2 linked regions of the Oryza sativa Japonica Group genome follow. The protein of the gene in region 1 interacts with the protein of each later gene in a pairwise test. Links are inferred from orthologs where the notes say so. Each region holds a gene or a part of one and is shown in the gene's direction. Other genes may lie near its edges.

What was found.
Region 2: the proteins of ethylene-responsive transcription factor 12 (region 1) and LOB domain-containing protein 4 interact in binary tests that used the Arabidopsis thaliana proteins (3 or more experiments, as listed by UniProt). The link is inferred for Oryza sativa Japonica Group from reciprocal best matches to the Arabidopsis thaliana genes ERF12 and LBD4.

What each region holds. Positions count from the first base shown.
Region 1 is NC_089039.1:24,542,176-24,545,255, reverse strand, and holds ethylene-responsive transcription factor 12, read left to right. Parts: upstream 1-1,472; 5' UTR 1,473-1,540; coding exon 1,541-2,110; 3' UTR 2,111-2,329; downstream 2,330-3,080.
Region 2 is NC_089037.1:26,708,972-26,713,453, forward strand, and holds LOB domain-containing protein 4, read left to right. Parts: upstream 1-1,510; 5' UTR 1,511-1,731; coding exon 1,732-1,992; intron 1,993-3,393; coding exon 3,394-3,777; 3' UTR 3,778-4,162; downstream 4,163-4,482.

The sequences.
Region 1 (3,080 bases):
AATTTATAACTGTCTACTAGCACCGCAACATTATCTTCATTTGAAAAGGCGAGGGTAAAATAAAATGCTGCACTGACAGGGAGCATCACAAAGAAATGCATGGAATAATAAAGAGGCCGGCCGGCCGGCCGGCCGGGCTGGAGCAGTACTACCGGTCTAGCCGGTCCATCCAAAACAGCATGGGCATGGCTACCCTATACAGTACACACGCACGCACTGTGCCAACGCCTTTGGCCTTTCATCAATGGTACGCCTCTTCCCAAGGCAGGGGTCGTCGCCGCTCGCTGCGCTGCACCATCAGCGCTCGACAGGTCCTCCCGCTGTCCCACCCAGCAGAAGGCAGTCAAGCCTCGCGCGTTCCCAAGGCCCCCCCCTTCTCTCCCTTCCCTTCCTCCCGCTGCTGCTGCTCCTGCCGCGGCAGCCTAGCTAGCTGCGGCCATGCCATGCCCGTCTCTTCCCCAAAGTATTTTTTCCCACATTCAATTCCCCACGAGATTTGGACGGGTCGAGCCGATCCATCGTCGGGTAGGCGCGAGATAGCTACTGCTGCCCGCGGCGCTGCGAATCTACTCCGGACGAGGAGTAATTTGGAGCGTGACAAGCGGCTGGCTACCCACCCACCGAACGGCGTGCGCGCGGACAACGCCGTGCCGGATAGGCCACCCACCCACCGGGGCGCGCCGCGGCGACTGCTACTGTTGAGCGGCGCCGCGCCGCACGCGTCGGCAAACCGCGGTGCTGCCTGCCTGCCTGCCCCCCGCGCCACGACACGGCTCCTGGACCTCCTCGCCCACGTGAACCCGACCCCGGGGGCCGAATCGTGCCACGGCACGTCGCCCCCCCTACGCCGAAACGCCAACCCCACACGTTACCTCCGCCGCGGTTGCTTTCCTTCTTCCCTTCCTTCCATCCGCCTGCTGCCGCTGGCACGTCGGGACGTAGGAGGAGTACTAGTAAACGTACGTACGCACTCGTCACGGGCCCGGTCACGTCCCCTGGGCCGTACTGTATCTCGCTTTCACCCTTGGTAGGCTAGTCCGCCGCGTCAACACGACGTAACGGACAGGGGAGAGGTATGGAGGAGGTGGAGGGCCCGTGCGGTCAGTGTGCAGGGGGGGTAGGGCGTGCAGGACGGATAGGGCGTTGGGGGTGGTGGTAGGGCTGGCGTCACGGCGATTAGACCATTCGGGGCGTCAAATCGCGCGGCGGCTGGGGCTTGATGGCCGAGGCCGAGACGGACACCGCGCCGCGCTGGTCAGCGACAGCCTCAAACCCCCCAAAACGCAGCAGGCCCCAGAGCGGCAGACACCTACTCCTACTAGTACTAGTACTACCACCATCTCCCCATTTCACGAGGCGCGCGCAAACGCAAAGCCGACGCGAGAGCGAGCGGCCACCGCGCGCTAGTAGTAGTAGCGAGCCACTATAGATTTGGCTCCCGTATAAAGGGTCGCTGAGACTTGCTTGTCGCTGGCAGTGGCAGCTGCCGATCCGTCCGTCAAGGCACAGCGCAAGCACAGGCTCTCGCTCGTGGAGGCGAATGGAGCTGGACATGGGAGCGGGAGGAGGCGGTGGAGTAGTGGGAGGTGGGCGAGCGGAGGCGCACTACCGCGGGGTGAGGAAGCGGCCGTGGGGCCGGTACGCGGCGGAGATCCGGGACCCGTGGAAGAAGACGCGGGTGTGGCTCGGCACCTACGACACGCCCGTCGAGGCCGCGCTCGCCTACGACCGCGCCGCCGTCGCGCTCCGCGGCGTCAAGGCGCGGACCAACTTCGGCAGCGGCAGCAGCGGTGGTGGTGGCGTCGGCGGGCACGGCCATGGCCACAGCCACGCCCAGCTGCCGCAGCTTCACCACCGCATGCACCCGCCGCGGCCGCCGCAGGGCCCTGGTCACTTCGGCGGGCTCGACATCAGCCACCCTTCGCCGTGGCACTATGTCTACTTCCCGGCGAGGGTGCAGGCGATGGCGCCGGCGGCGGCTGGCCATGTCGCGGCGCACGTCGCCGCGTCGCTGCCGTCGACGACGCTGGAGCTCCGGACGGGGCCGAGCGCCGGCGAGCTCCCGTTCGACCTCAACGAGCCGCCGCCGGCGCTGCTGTTCGGCTCGTGATCTCGACACGTACGTGAGTAGAGCATCACTGGGTAGTACTAGGACCAAGGATCAAGCTTAGAGATCACTAGTAGATAGGGGTAACCGATTAATGTGGGAGTGGAGAGCACTGGTCCGGCTGTGTACATACGTACTACTATTTAAGGAAAGTTTAGCGTTCTCACATTGCCCCTGTTCTTGTTTCCATTTTAAGAACTTTTTAGCGTACAGCTTTTCATCTCTTCTGTAGTATAAGACGGTTTTCTCACTCGAGGTTAGTACTATTACTGACCTGAGAACTTGCATGGTGATGGTGGTTGTGGGGCGAGTGAGCGGTTGGTTCGGAACATTTGGTTGGTCAAAAGCTAGTACTACAAAATTTTAATTCATGTAAAATACTAGTACTGGTATTATAAGAAAGATTTCAGTTATACATATTGATCAGTAAATCAAATATACTTAACGCTCTAAACTACTAGTGCTATCAATGCAAGCCCCGTTAGTGAAAATTAACAGTATCAATGGGGTTTCAAAAAATTAACAGTATCAATTGATATCAATGCAGCCTTAATTTACTTAACTGTTTAAACTCTAAACTAGGGTTTGTAAAAAGACATTCAACTCGAGATGAATGGCACACCCGGCGTCCCGAGCTCCCGGCCTCACTGACTTGACCATCTGCTTAAAAGTCCCATCACAAAATGGCTCGCGAGTCCACCCTGTCTCGATTGTCGTTTCCTGTAGTATTACTAGTACACACGTTCGATTATGCTTCTGTAGTTATGCGCACAGCTTATTAACTACTCCATGTGTCCTTAGATTTTAAATTAGATATTGTAAAATAACTTATGATAAAAAATCTATAAAATCAACTCTAAAATAAAGTTTTAAATTTTATAATTTTATTTATAAACAAAAACATAAAACAAACAATGCGTCCGCTACAGACTGTGCCCAACATTTGATCCATTTAGATAACTATGGTTTTAAT
Region 2 (4,482 bases), on another chromosome or scaffold:
TTTTAAGCTACTATTTACATTTACAAGTATGTAAATTTTAATAAATCAGACTCATATAATTAGAAATAGACTGAGAGCCCATACTTAACGAGTCATACCATATAATTAGGGAGAAATGGTGGTTACTTTTCACGTATGGACGCGCTGTGTGTGTTGGGATGACAGGATGAAAGGAGAATGATTCTGTTTTTAGGACAGTAGAGATATCCTGCAATAGTGAAAGATGCACAAACTTTTATCTGGAGGTCCTCAACTATGGAAGGATCCACATGAGCTTAGCTGTTTAGCCAAATCTCTGCTGATTCATATGCACCATTTCTGTACACACGCAGCACAGTAGCAAAGGTGCCGTGCAAAGTGTCCAAAATATAATCACCACCTGATATGTGTGCCCGCCGACTCGCATTGATCACTTGCCGACCCAGCTTTCTTTAGAACCAAGCAAGCAACACAAGGGGTCGCGAGAACGAACAAAAAGTGAAAAAAAAAAAAGAAAAGAAGCTCATCACTACTCGCAGAGAGAAGCAACAATGGGATTACTGAGTACTGACATGGATTAGCCGTGTCTCCCCAAAGAGAAAAAAAGTTAGACGAGGTTAATCAAGTGGCCATCGATCACCACGGTCTCTCTCTTTCTCTCGCTCAGCGATGATGCTCTTGGTCCGGACCAAAATACAGCAGCAGCAGCAGCAGTACAAAGCTCTGACGCTCGGGTCCCACATCCGTCAGACCATCCGTCCGTCCGTCCAAGATTCAGGAGACGAAGCCCATCCGTTGGATGGACCAAAAGATGCCGCGGTCGATGCATATGTAAGGATGCAGATGCAGGCAGCATGCTGTCGTCGACCGACCCGATCGATCGATCGATCTGTCTCTACTGCAGCACGACATCGCCGTCTCACAGGGCACTGGAAATGATGGGTCGCCTGCCTGACCTCTCTACACAAATCTTAAGCCTAGAGACAGACACTGATATAATAATAAATAGAGATTGACCGGGATTTTGGTGCTGTTTGTTAATGGTGACCATCCGACAAAATGCTCTATCACCGTCCTCTGCGTCCTCGCTCTGCACCGACTGATTCACCACACTTCACGTTCCACCTCACCGGAGGGTAAATACAGCAATCACCGTTCCACACATTTCGTACAATTTTGCTTGTACAAAAGCTGATCAATTTCGTGCTCAAATTAATAGTACAAACCCAGCCGAAAAGCGCTCACAAAGCCAAACAAACACTCAATGTAGCAGCAGCAGCAGCAGCAATCAGCATGAGTGCCCACCATTGCTTTTTTTTTTTTTTGGTGCCGTCTTCTCCGTGTTGTTCGTGGCACAACAGGACATGATCGATCGGTCAAAGGGTGAGGGGAGAACGAGACGACGGTGCATAAAAATCAAATGGAATGGAAGCGAGAAGGGAGAGAGGAGAGGAGCATGCATGCATCGTTACTCCAGTACGCTGCGTACAGCGGCCGGCCGCGCCACGATCTCGCTGTCTGCTGCTGCTGCTTCCAACTGCTCTCTGCTCTGCTCTGCTTCTGCTCCTCTCTTCCTCTCTAAAAAGCGTCGCCCCAACCAACCTGCCCCGTCCTAGCTAAAGCCATAGCAGTAGGCGGGCTACGCATCATCTCCCGATTTGGCAACACCCATATTGCTGCAGTGCAGTTGCAGTTGTTGCGGTTGCAGTGCAAGAGGGAGAAGAGGAGTTTCTTGGTGAGGGAGAGGGAGAGATGAGGGACGTGGTGGTGGCGGTTGGCGGCGGGACGAAGGCGGCGAGCAGGCAGCAGGGGCAGGGCGGGGTGACGTTGGCGGCGGCGGCGGCGGGGTCGGGGTCGGGGTCGGCGGCGTCGCCATGCGCGGCGTGCAAGCTGCTGCGGCGGCGGTGCGCGGCGGGGTGCGTGTTCGCGCCCTACTTCCCGCCGGGCGAGCCGCACAAGTTCGCCAACGTCCACAAGGTCTTCGGCGCCAGCAATGTCAGCAAGCTCCTCCAGGTATACCGCACGATCGCTGCTTCTTCTCTCAATCTATCGTCTTCTCTCCCTAGCTGCCATGCCATGACATGCCTTGCCTTGCCTCCTCGTGTCGTGTGTACGCACGTCTCACGAGCCCTCAATTCCCTCTGTTTCCGTCTACAATCTCTGTACCGCCTTCTTTCTCTGTATCATCGCGCTCATGCACACACAGACACAGTCGAGTTACTACCAGTTCTTGGATCTTTTTTTCCTTTTCAGTTCCGTGCCAATTCATTAGAAAGATGTGATGTTTCTTGCCATTGTTTAGCCCACAGTTTGTCAAATGTGTAGTAGTGCACAAAATTGATATCTTGTTTCGCCAGAAATGGATTGCTTATTTTTAACATATATGGTTAAGAAAGTTTCCCCGGGCCATAACGACGATGCTAGTACTAGGGATAATATTGGTTTAGTGGTTTCGTTTGATTACGGTGTTTTCCCAACATGTAGCCTGCAATTCTCAGGAAAAAAAAATTGAACGAAGGCCTGATAATCTCAGAATGATATACTGTATTAGATGGTGTAATAGTAGATTCTGAATACACCGAGATTTTGACAAATTCGGCAACTATATTTTCTGTTTACTAGCAGCCAGCCTAAATTCATTTCCTGGGTATGCCAAGTTCAGAATTGAACTTTCAGAATTTTGCACTTGTTCTTCAGTTTTCACCGTGAGTGGCACATGTACTGGGCATGTGCATCAAAATAAACATGGCAAAGATCCTACTTTCACTGCCCACTGGGTCCTCATCCATGCAGCAACCCAAAGCATTTCTTATGTGCTAAAGATCACCTAGCCAAAGAAAAGAAAAAGAAAAGATTGCTTTTTTTTTTGTGAGCAAGTTCGAGTACTGCAGTGTGTTGTAGTACTAATTAAATCGACAGAGACCTCAGCATAGTGATCTCCAAACTGAACCCTCCCCCATGTGTCGAGCCGCCTGAAACAGTAGCCCATCAGTGGTGGTATACGGCCTCGTCCTCACAGTCTCAGCAGCCTTGGGCAGTCACCTTCACACAAGGCTCGCACATGCTGCGTAAAAAGAAAAAGAAAAAAAGCTTTCGGCTGCACCAAACATGCAAAAATGTCCCTAAAAATCCTTCCTTCCATTCCCTTTTCTTGGAACCAGAGAGACACCCCCAAATCGCCACCATCTTTTCTCAATTTCTTCTCCTTGGCCCTAGCCTCCTAGTAGCCTTGTCACAATGTCACTGGCTCACTGTGTGTGTGCTTGCACGATTGTCAGGTGGGAATGGACGTTTCTTCTACCTTGTCATGTACTGGTGCCTGCACAAAACCAGATCATTCAGATGTGACTTGACTGAAACTCTGCTGCTATGACAATCATATGTCTGAAACTTTGGGATTGTGGTGGAATGCAGGAGATACCGGTGCAGCACAGGGGGGACGCCGTGAGCAGCCTGGTGTACGAGGCGAACGCGCGGGTGAGGGACCCGATCTACGGCTGCGTCGGCGCCATCTCGTCGCTGCAGCAGCAGGTGGAGGCGCTGCAGGCGCAGCTGGCGCTGGCGCAGGCGGAGATGGTCAGGCTGAGGATGAGCAACGACTACATCGGCCGCCGCCTCCGGGCGCGCGGCTGCGGCGGCGGCGGCGGAGGCGGAGGCGGGAGCACCACCACCACCACCGGCTCGCCGTCGTCCATGTCGTCGCCGGCCAAGACGGCGGAGCCGGAGCCGCTCTGCAAGCCCACGCCGGAGCTGGACATGGTGGTGGACCAGCCGGACTTCGGCTTCTGGTCCTACTAGGGCTTTGATCAAGGTAGTACTACTAGCTGATTGTAGCTGTGATGATGATCAGGTGATGTTTTTGGAGTTAAGTGACAGATGGTATGGTATGGTATGGTATAGTAGTAGTTCATAGTAGAGTCAAGCGAGTAAAGTATATGGCAATGTGTGCGCAGTAGCAGCGTGACACTGGGAGGGAGGTGAACATAGGCAGAGAGGCCTCCTCCTAAACCTTCTTCTACTGGGATATATCAGGGGCTTTTTTTTTGGCTGTCCTTCTATGAGAAGGTAGAACACTGTTACAGACATTGGGTGTGCATTCACTGAGTTGTGTTATCCATTGCAAGAAACTTTGTTGCTCGTGACAATTTACTTGGTTGAAATAGCTGAACTATGCTGTGGGAAATGCAGATGGTGCTATCTATGTTTGTACAAATGTTCTTTGATTCTGGGCTTGTTTTATGACATGTGACCCATTAGCAGAGATGTAAAATGCTTTAGTTTGATTAAGTAGATATCAGACTAATATTGCAACTTAAGGTTGCCATGAGGCTTAAATACTTTCACGATTGTATCTGCAATTTTACAAGGCTGGCTCCCATGGATACTATGGGCAATGAATTGCTACCCATTTTTTACAAATACATAAATAAAACAGACACCCTGATGTCGGACAGACCCCATCACTTCATAACCTAATGCAGGTTCATATGACCCAAAAATTGC